2 linked regions of the Saccharomyces cerevisiae S288C genome follow. Each later gene encodes a partner of the first gene's protein in a complex. Each region holds a gene or a part of one and is shown on either strand. Other genes may lie near its edges. A codon is read from its position in the direction of its gene.

Evidence for each region. The genes of interacting proteins can lie anywhere in the genome.
Region 2: the proteins of MAK10 (region 1) and MAK3 are in contact, whole or in part, in a crystal structure (PDB 6YGB), measured with the Saccharomyces cerevisiae proteins. Residues at the interface, in NP_010861.3 of Saccharomyces cerevisiae: Pro35 (codon at 1,910), Glu36 (codon at 1,913), Ala37 (codon at 1,916), Ile38 (codon at 1,919), Asp45 (codon at 1,940), Leu46 (codon at 1,943), Phe47 (codon at 1,946), Gly49 (codon at 1,952), Thr50 (codon at 1,955), Ser52 (codon at 1,961), Leu53 (codon at 1,964), Glu54 (codon at 1,967), Lys59 (codon at 1,982), Leu60 (codon at 1,985), Asp104 (codon at 2,117), Tyr105 (codon at 2,120), Gln106 (codon at 2,123), Glu173 (codon at 2,324), Asp174 (codon at 2,327), Pro284 (codon at 2,657), Arg286 (codon at 2,663), Thr289 (codon at 2,672), Gln332 (codon at 2,801), Asn403 (codon at 3,014), Cys405 (codon at 3,020), Gln409 (codon at 3,032), Leu455 (codon at 3,170), Asp456 (codon at 3,173), Ile457 (codon at 3,176), Lys459 (codon at 3,182); in NP_015376.1 of Saccharomyces cerevisiae: Ile10 (codon at 1,581), Arg11 (codon at 1,584), Lys20 (codon at 1,611), Asp24 (codon at 1,623), Leu27 (codon at 1,632), Ser28 (codon at 1,635), Glu29 (codon at 1,638), Pro30 (codon at 1,641), Tyr31 (codon at 1,644), Ser32 (codon at 1,647), Ile33 (codon at 1,650), Tyr34 (codon at 1,653), Val35 (codon at 1,656), Arg37 (codon at 1,662), Tyr38 (codon at 1,665), Asn41 (codon at 1,674), Gln42 (codon at 1,677), Lys98 (codon at 1,845), Glu101 (codon at 1,854), Ile104 (codon at 1,863), Asp105 (codon at 1,866), Gln108 (codon at 1,875), Glu131 (codon at 1,944), Gly132 (codon at 1,947), Met133 (codon at 1,950), Gly134 (codon at 1,953), Ile136 (codon at 1,959), Arg137 (codon at 1,962), Met138 (codon at 1,965), Lys139 (codon at 1,968).

What each region holds. Positions count from the first base shown.
Region 1 is NC_001137.3:53,315-57,909, reverse strand, and holds MAK10 (Mak10p), read left to right. Parts: upstream 1-1,807; coding exon 1,808-4,009; downstream 4,010-4,595. Other genes in the region: AFG1 (Afg1p), read right to left, coding at 1-1,339.
Region 2 is NC_001148.4:663,407-665,990, forward strand, and holds MAK3 (peptide alpha-N-acetyltransferase MAK3), read left to right. Parts: upstream 1-1,553; coding exon 1,554-2,084; downstream 2,085-2,584. Other genes in the region: autophagy protein ATG11, read right to left, coding at 1-1,267; NHP6A (high-mobility group nucleosome-binding protein), read right to left, coding at 2,287-2,568; YPR053C (uncharacterized protein), read right to left, coding at 2,382-2,584.

The sequences.
Region 1 (4,595 bases):
TTGGGCGTAACTCAAAATCATTAAGTATCTGTTCAGGTTCCACAAACAAGGAAGAAAAATCCGCTGCACCCGTAGTGGCCAGTTTCCCGCCACTGTCATATACAGCATCTAAAAATGTAATAAATCTTCTCACTTCATCACGAACGTAAATGGACAAATATGGAATATCGGTCACTATAAAGGCTTCAAAATTTTTTGCCAACGTCAAGTAATCTCCTGCGGCCAAAGGCTCACCACACAACTGCTTGAAAGTAAACTGCGCGACTCGAGGTGGGGTACACTTAGGGACTTTGAACTCTCTCCCCCAAATAGTTAATGGATAATCATAAAATGTCTTATGCACCGTGTGTGAATCAGTGGAATCATCGGTGTGGGAAGCCTGTGCGAAATAGTTATACCATTCCTTAATATGAGTTTCTCGACGGGTTTTACATTCCTTTGATGCGTATTTTATGCTCGTATCGGATGGGAAATAGTAAACTGAGGACACAGGTCTTGGAATCTTACGGTAATCTGTTGGCGAATTCAAGAAGATAACCTTAGTTCTATGCTTTATCAGTTCAATACAAGGAATAAATGATTGTCTTTGAACACCGTTGATATACAACTCATCTGGATGTCTATTCGAGGTTGCGAAAAGTACGACACCATAATCATCGGATAGTAAGGCAGTCATCAGCCTTCTCAATATCATTGCATCTGCCACGTCAGTGACTTGAAACTCGTCAAAACAAAGAACATGCGAATTATTTGCAATCTCTGCGGCCAAAAATGGAACCGTATCGATCTCTTTTCCTTTTGCATCACCTAGTTCTTTCAAATTTTGCTCTCTAACAATTTCATGCGACCTTTTGTGAACATATTGCATAAACTGGTGAAAATGTATTCTCTTTTTTGTTAAATGATTGGGAATTGTAGTATAAAAAAGGTCCATCAACATTGTCTTTCCGCAGCCAACATCTCCATATAGGTAAACTCCTCGAGGTATCGAGTTACCAATTTTGGATACATCCACATACGCCCCAATGTTCTTAGGTTTGCCACGGCTAAATACGGATTTAAGACCATTCAACCAACCGCCAACTTGGTCGACAGCATTGGGTGTCTTGACAACCGGAGGTACATATTTAACCAGTGAATCATACAAATCCCCTAAGGAAGAGATGATACCACGCTGATATGTATCATCCCGTAGCTTCCCCAACTTCACCAGTCTGTCGTACTCTTGCAAGGGCGTCAGACACTTATTTGACTTCGTAGATTGATACCGACAAATGCGAAAGCTGCAATGCTGCACTTGTCGGAAGGTTCGAACAGCATTGGGCTTCAAAGCGATCATGATTTTAACCAGCAAATACTATGTTTCACTGCTTTACCTATTTATTCTTTGTTCTTTCGGAGCACCCGCAAATCAGAAGAAAGGAACTTCTCCCTCCCACTTTAAAGTAAATCCGGAGATTCCCGTTATTACCTTACATATCGAAATATGACCCATAAAAGATGTGTAAAATTACGTAAGACAAAGGAACTCGGCACACCTATTGAATAGGTAATAGTGGAATCAGGTGCCTAAATAAATGAATAAGAGTACTGTATTATCTAGTAGTTGTTATATTATCTAACCTTTACATAATACGATTATTTCACATTGTTATGTTTTCGGGTAATAATTATGAGATGGAGTGAAATTTCACGAAGAGATACAAGTAAAATAGCAGCTCTTCAATAGCAAGAAGAGTGGCGCTGAGATTGAAAACAACTGTGCTAGTGTAGAGCAACTTTGATAATAGCTGGTACGTTTCCGAGAATGGAAGTAGACAGTATATTAGGTTCCTTGAGCATAACTGATGATTTTGACCAATTGGTTGACGTCACAAGTCTGTTTGATGAATTGTGTTCAAAACTAAAACCAGAGGCTATCGTGAAAGATCCCAGGTTTGATTTGTTCGAGGGTACACATTCTTTAGAGGTCAACAACTCCAAATTAGACTCCAGTCTGATAGAATTGACAGCAGAAGAAATAGAATTTGATGTGAACGTGGCCTACGATCCACCGTTGGCAAGTGTAGCAGCCATAGCGGATAGATTACTTAGATGTGTTATCTCCTGGCTGAATGACTACCAGACTTTACCCACTACTGTATTAAGCTGCAGGTATACAGAAAGCTTATTATCGTCATTAGTTAAGGGAACAACTGCCGGTTCGTCCTGGTGTACAGGGAATATTTTGTATGATAAAGTACTAGGAAGTTGCATACTTGGCGTTTGTTATTTAACAAAATTTGTGCAGAAACTCTTGAGTGCTGGTATTGTTTTTGAAGAGGAGGATTTAAATTTTAATAACATGGGGTTTAATACATTCGATAATTTGCCGGGGCAAGATGTTGTTATCAATTCTCTCACCGAGAGCCTTCAGATATTAGAGGCATATTCTGATGATAGCTTACATTTAACTATGCTGAAGCATATACTAAAAATTATCATTTGCTTAGTCCACTTAGAAGACCATCTGACAGACTATTCCACAAAGACAAGCCACCTGGATGAGCTAATTGAAAACGCTAACTCGGTTAATGGCATATTTCCACAATTACAGCTGTCTCCACCAAAGGGTGCGTTCTCAACATATATACAAAAGCACAGGTCTAATCAATTCCCTCCCAGGAAGATTACGAAGTTACCGACGGATTACAGCGGCTTTATTACACTGGCAAATGATGTTAAAACAATACTCCTTGTAGATAAAGCCGAGTCTGCGTTGGAGACCTACCAGTTTGCCAAATTCTTCAACAAGTTGGAACAAAGGCATGTCATTGCAAGGATCTTATTCCCCTTATTTTTCATTAGAGACGACAGAACAGTTTTGGGTAAATTTTCATATACCCAATTTTATTTGCTACATGTCAAGGAGTTTTCAGCACAAACTCCATCTGAATTTGAATCCTCTATTGGTAATGAACTTATCCAAGAAAGCTCTAATATGCTTTTAGAATGGTACCAAAACTGCTCCCAAAACACATGTAGATATAGACAAGGTTTTAACAGGCAACTTATTCTATGGGATTCTCTTCAAGCCCAGTTTGAAAGTGTCAATTCACAAGTTTACTGTTCGTGGACATATTTTATGAAACTATCAAGTATGATCGAATTCTCTTTAAAGGGGTTTGATTTGGATATTTACAAACCCTTTGAAGCATACTCTATGTTTTGGTATGTTTATTATTTAAGTCACCACTTAGAAACCTTTTTGAAAGATAGTCAAAATGATATTGAATCAAATATTAATGCCATTCATTCCATGAACAAAAAACTTAAAAAATTGAAAGCTGGTGAAAAGAAGGACCAATTGAGGCTAAAGTACAGGTTTGCTATGGATAATGAAATGGAACAATTACAAGCTACCAAACAATTTTTAAACTATCTTTTGAAGGAAATTAACATTACCAAATCTTTATGTCTAATAGAGGTTTTCCAATTTGCAATTTTAAAGTCATTTGGTTTAATTGACAACAAGAATAGTACTCCGTCAAAATTCTCTAATGAACGGTTAATCCATAATTTGAGATTCAAGCCATTTAATTCAATTGGTGTTCCTGAGTTACCAGAATATGAAGTATTTCAACAAACTTTAAAAGATTTTGTCATTGAAGAAAAAGGAGCTGCATTTGATATAAAGTTAGAAAGGGCCACTAACTTTATCGAAACTGAAGTGCGCAATGTCGTTAGTTCTATTGATGAGATAATGCAAGGAATCAAGGGAGGCGATAATAACGGCGTTCTAGTAACAGGAACAAGACTGGTTCAAGAGCTCTCTCTGGAGTACTATTGTAAACTAAAACATACTTCTAAAGCATTATCAGTCAACTCAAAAGTTATCGTCAACACTTTGAAAAAGAACATTAAAAACAAGGACTCCCACGAATACAAGGTTGAATTAGTTCATACAACAGAAGGATGGAACTATTTCCCCATACAAACATTGAGAATAAAGCAAGACCGCTATAAATAATCTGGAATTTACCCTAACTGTACAAAATATATTTAGCATTATATACCCGCTATTTAATTATTATAAAGGAGACCTTTATACTCAAACAAATGAAGCCACCTTATGCCATTATCCCATTCGTACCAGTCTAAAACAAGATAAATACCCTGTTTAACATCCGAACACCAAATATGTGTGGGTGTCAAACAAAGAGACAATGTAATGAGACAATGTACTGCTTGTAAACTATAACAGTATCAGCTCAATTTCAATGCCATCTACTCCAGATATCGTTGCGATTGTACCTACAAGCCGCCTACAACGGCGTTATTGTTGTAAGCTGGTAAAATGCAGTGCGTTCCCCCGTTGTGAGTTCGGGCCAAACTTACTTGGCTGGGAGTTCCGTCCGTACAGTTGTGGCTTGCTGCCTAGACTTAGGCGGACGCGGCGGCAATTACTCCTGGGCTCTCCCTAGAGCTGGAGAGACACTCTTGGTAACCGAAGGGAAAATCCCGGAAGAAAATTTGGAATCCGTTAACACTGCTGGAAATGGACATCTCCTAATACTGAAAAAATTATTCAAAGTCTAGAATTTTGGTAAATTTCA
Region 2 (2,584 bases), on another chromosome or scaffold:
TCTGGGTGAATGCTATGTTACCCAAAATGGCTACTGCATGCTTTTGTAGACTTTTTTTTAAATCTATTAGTTCTCCTATTTGTGAATACAGCGCTTGTGATATAGTGAAGAGAGTTTTCACTGATTCTTTTTTATCCTTTTCCAACATCACATTCATGCTTTTCAAAAATTCTTGACTATTGAATTCTTCTTCTTCTTTATCAAGTACATTTCTGCTTCTTGTTCGCATTTCTGATACCAGTACCTCAAAGCTCTCTGCCATTTGGTCTTCAAGCTCGAATTTAGATTCATTCGGGGTAAACATTTGCCGCAGTCGATCGATGTTTACTGTTATAATATCTCTAAAACTTGCATTTTCGTCAATTTCCCTCTTAATTTTATTCAGCTTACCATTGATTGAATGATTTAGAATCTTTACAGATTTTTCGTTCTCCAGGAGAGATTCAATATTAATGAACTTTTGTAAAGAATCACCCTCTAAAGCAGTCAACTTACTCAAGGTGTCATTGAAGCATTTTTCCCATTTTGAAGTCATACCATTGTCTACCAGCTGATTTAAAAATTGAACGTTTGAGTTATACAAACTTTCTACATCAAAGCAGTACAGCTTCAAATATTGTGAGCAAACGGTTAAGCCATCAAAAATACGCTTAATATGGGCTATTATGTCTGGTATGAGGCTCTTAAAATAATGTACATCTATTTCTAAAGCGCTTAGCCAACCAAGGTTCGTCGTCAGTAAGCTAGTTACGGAATGGTAATTTAAACGCGAAAGATCTACGTCTGCGTCCTCCAAAGGCGAGGGCATAGGCTTGATCATAATAGTATCGCTACCTTGGTATTGAGATATATGACTATTCTTAATTAAATATTCCAGAGTCTCTGTCAAGTCGTTGGAATTAGGGGAGTTCATGGGATTAGAATCCTTAGACGTTAAAAGATTTGTTGGTGTCGGTTTACTAACAAGTGAGAATAGTCGTCTGTCGTAAACGTAAAAATCATTTAGAGTAAAAGACCTATTAATAAGCAGCTCTTTAAACATCGACGGTTTTAGTTTGTTACCATAAGGTAGTAGAATCAGCAGCTGATCGGGAGGAATCTTCCATTTCCTAGCAATGAACTGTTTAAATTTGTCCAGGGAAACGAAAAAATCAACATTCGTAGTTATACATTCTCCAGATATTGCATTTATGATAGTGGCTGTTGTCTGCAGTGGTGTTATTTCTTGCTGGGTAGGTGCAGTGCTATATTCATCAGCGTCTGCCATGATGTATAAAAGAAAATAAAAGAAGTACTTTCCGAACAACAACAGTACACTAAAATAATCGTTGTTCAAAGGAGGACTACTTTGGTTCTGATTTGAGAAAATGGTACTCAAATAAGGGCATCGCTATTATATAGTTCCATTCCTACCAAGAAACCGGGTAGCCAAAAGCGATAAAAAGGCTCTCCATGGCAAGCCTTATTAAAAATAATAATCATGAAGAACAAAGTTTCACAAGAGATTACAAGATAAAAAAGCCACTACTACAGAAAAGGCGTTGGGTCAGGACATGGAAATAGTGTACAAGCCATTGGACATACGTAACGAAGAGCAGTTTGCTAGTATTAAAAAACTAATAGATGCGGATCTATCAGAGCCGTACTCGATATACGTATATAGGTATTTCTTGAACCAATGGCCCGAGTTAACGTACATTGCCGTTGACAACAAGAGTGGAACGCCTAACATACCCATTGGTTGCATAGTGTGTAAGATGGACCCGCATAGAAACGTGAGACTGAGAGGATATATAGGAATGCTAGCCGTAGAGTCCACATACCGCGGGCATGGCATAGCAAAGAAACTAGTGGAAATTGCCATAGATAAAATGCAAAGGGAACATTGCGATGAGATCATGTTAGAAACAGAGGTGGAAAATTCGGCGGCTCTAAACTTATATGAAGGAATGGGTTTCATCAGAATGAAACGGATGTTCCGCTACTACTTGAATGAAGGGGACGCCTTTAAACTGATATTGCCGTTGACTGAAAAGAGCTGCACTCGGTCTACGTTCCTAATGCATGGCCGGCTGGCCACATAAAAGGAAAAACACTCGATGATGATAAAATATATATTAATAATACAATTTTTTTATTTATTTATTTAATCATATGTATAGATATAGAAAAAGGGCAGTAGAGAAAAGAGGAATAGAAAGGAGAGAGATAATAAAGCAAGTTTCAAAAAGAACAAGAGGAAAAGAAATTAAATCACACAGACAAAAACGCGGGGAGGAAGTATCCCTAAGCCAAAGTGGCGTTATATAACTCCTTTTCGGATTCATATCTCTTCTTATCGGCCTGGGCCTTGGCCTCGTAAGGCTGCTTTTCCTCTGGCGTTAGAGCCTTCCACTTCTCACCCAACTTCTTGCCGACTTGTCCAAATGTGATATCTGGATTTTCAGAACGAACAATATCTCTGTTTTCGTTAGCGAAAAACATGTAGGCGGACAAAGCCCTCTTAGGGGCATTTGGGTCCTTCTTCTTTCTAGTGGTTCTCTTCTTAGGTTCTCTTGGGGTGACCATTGCGACTGTGCTTTAC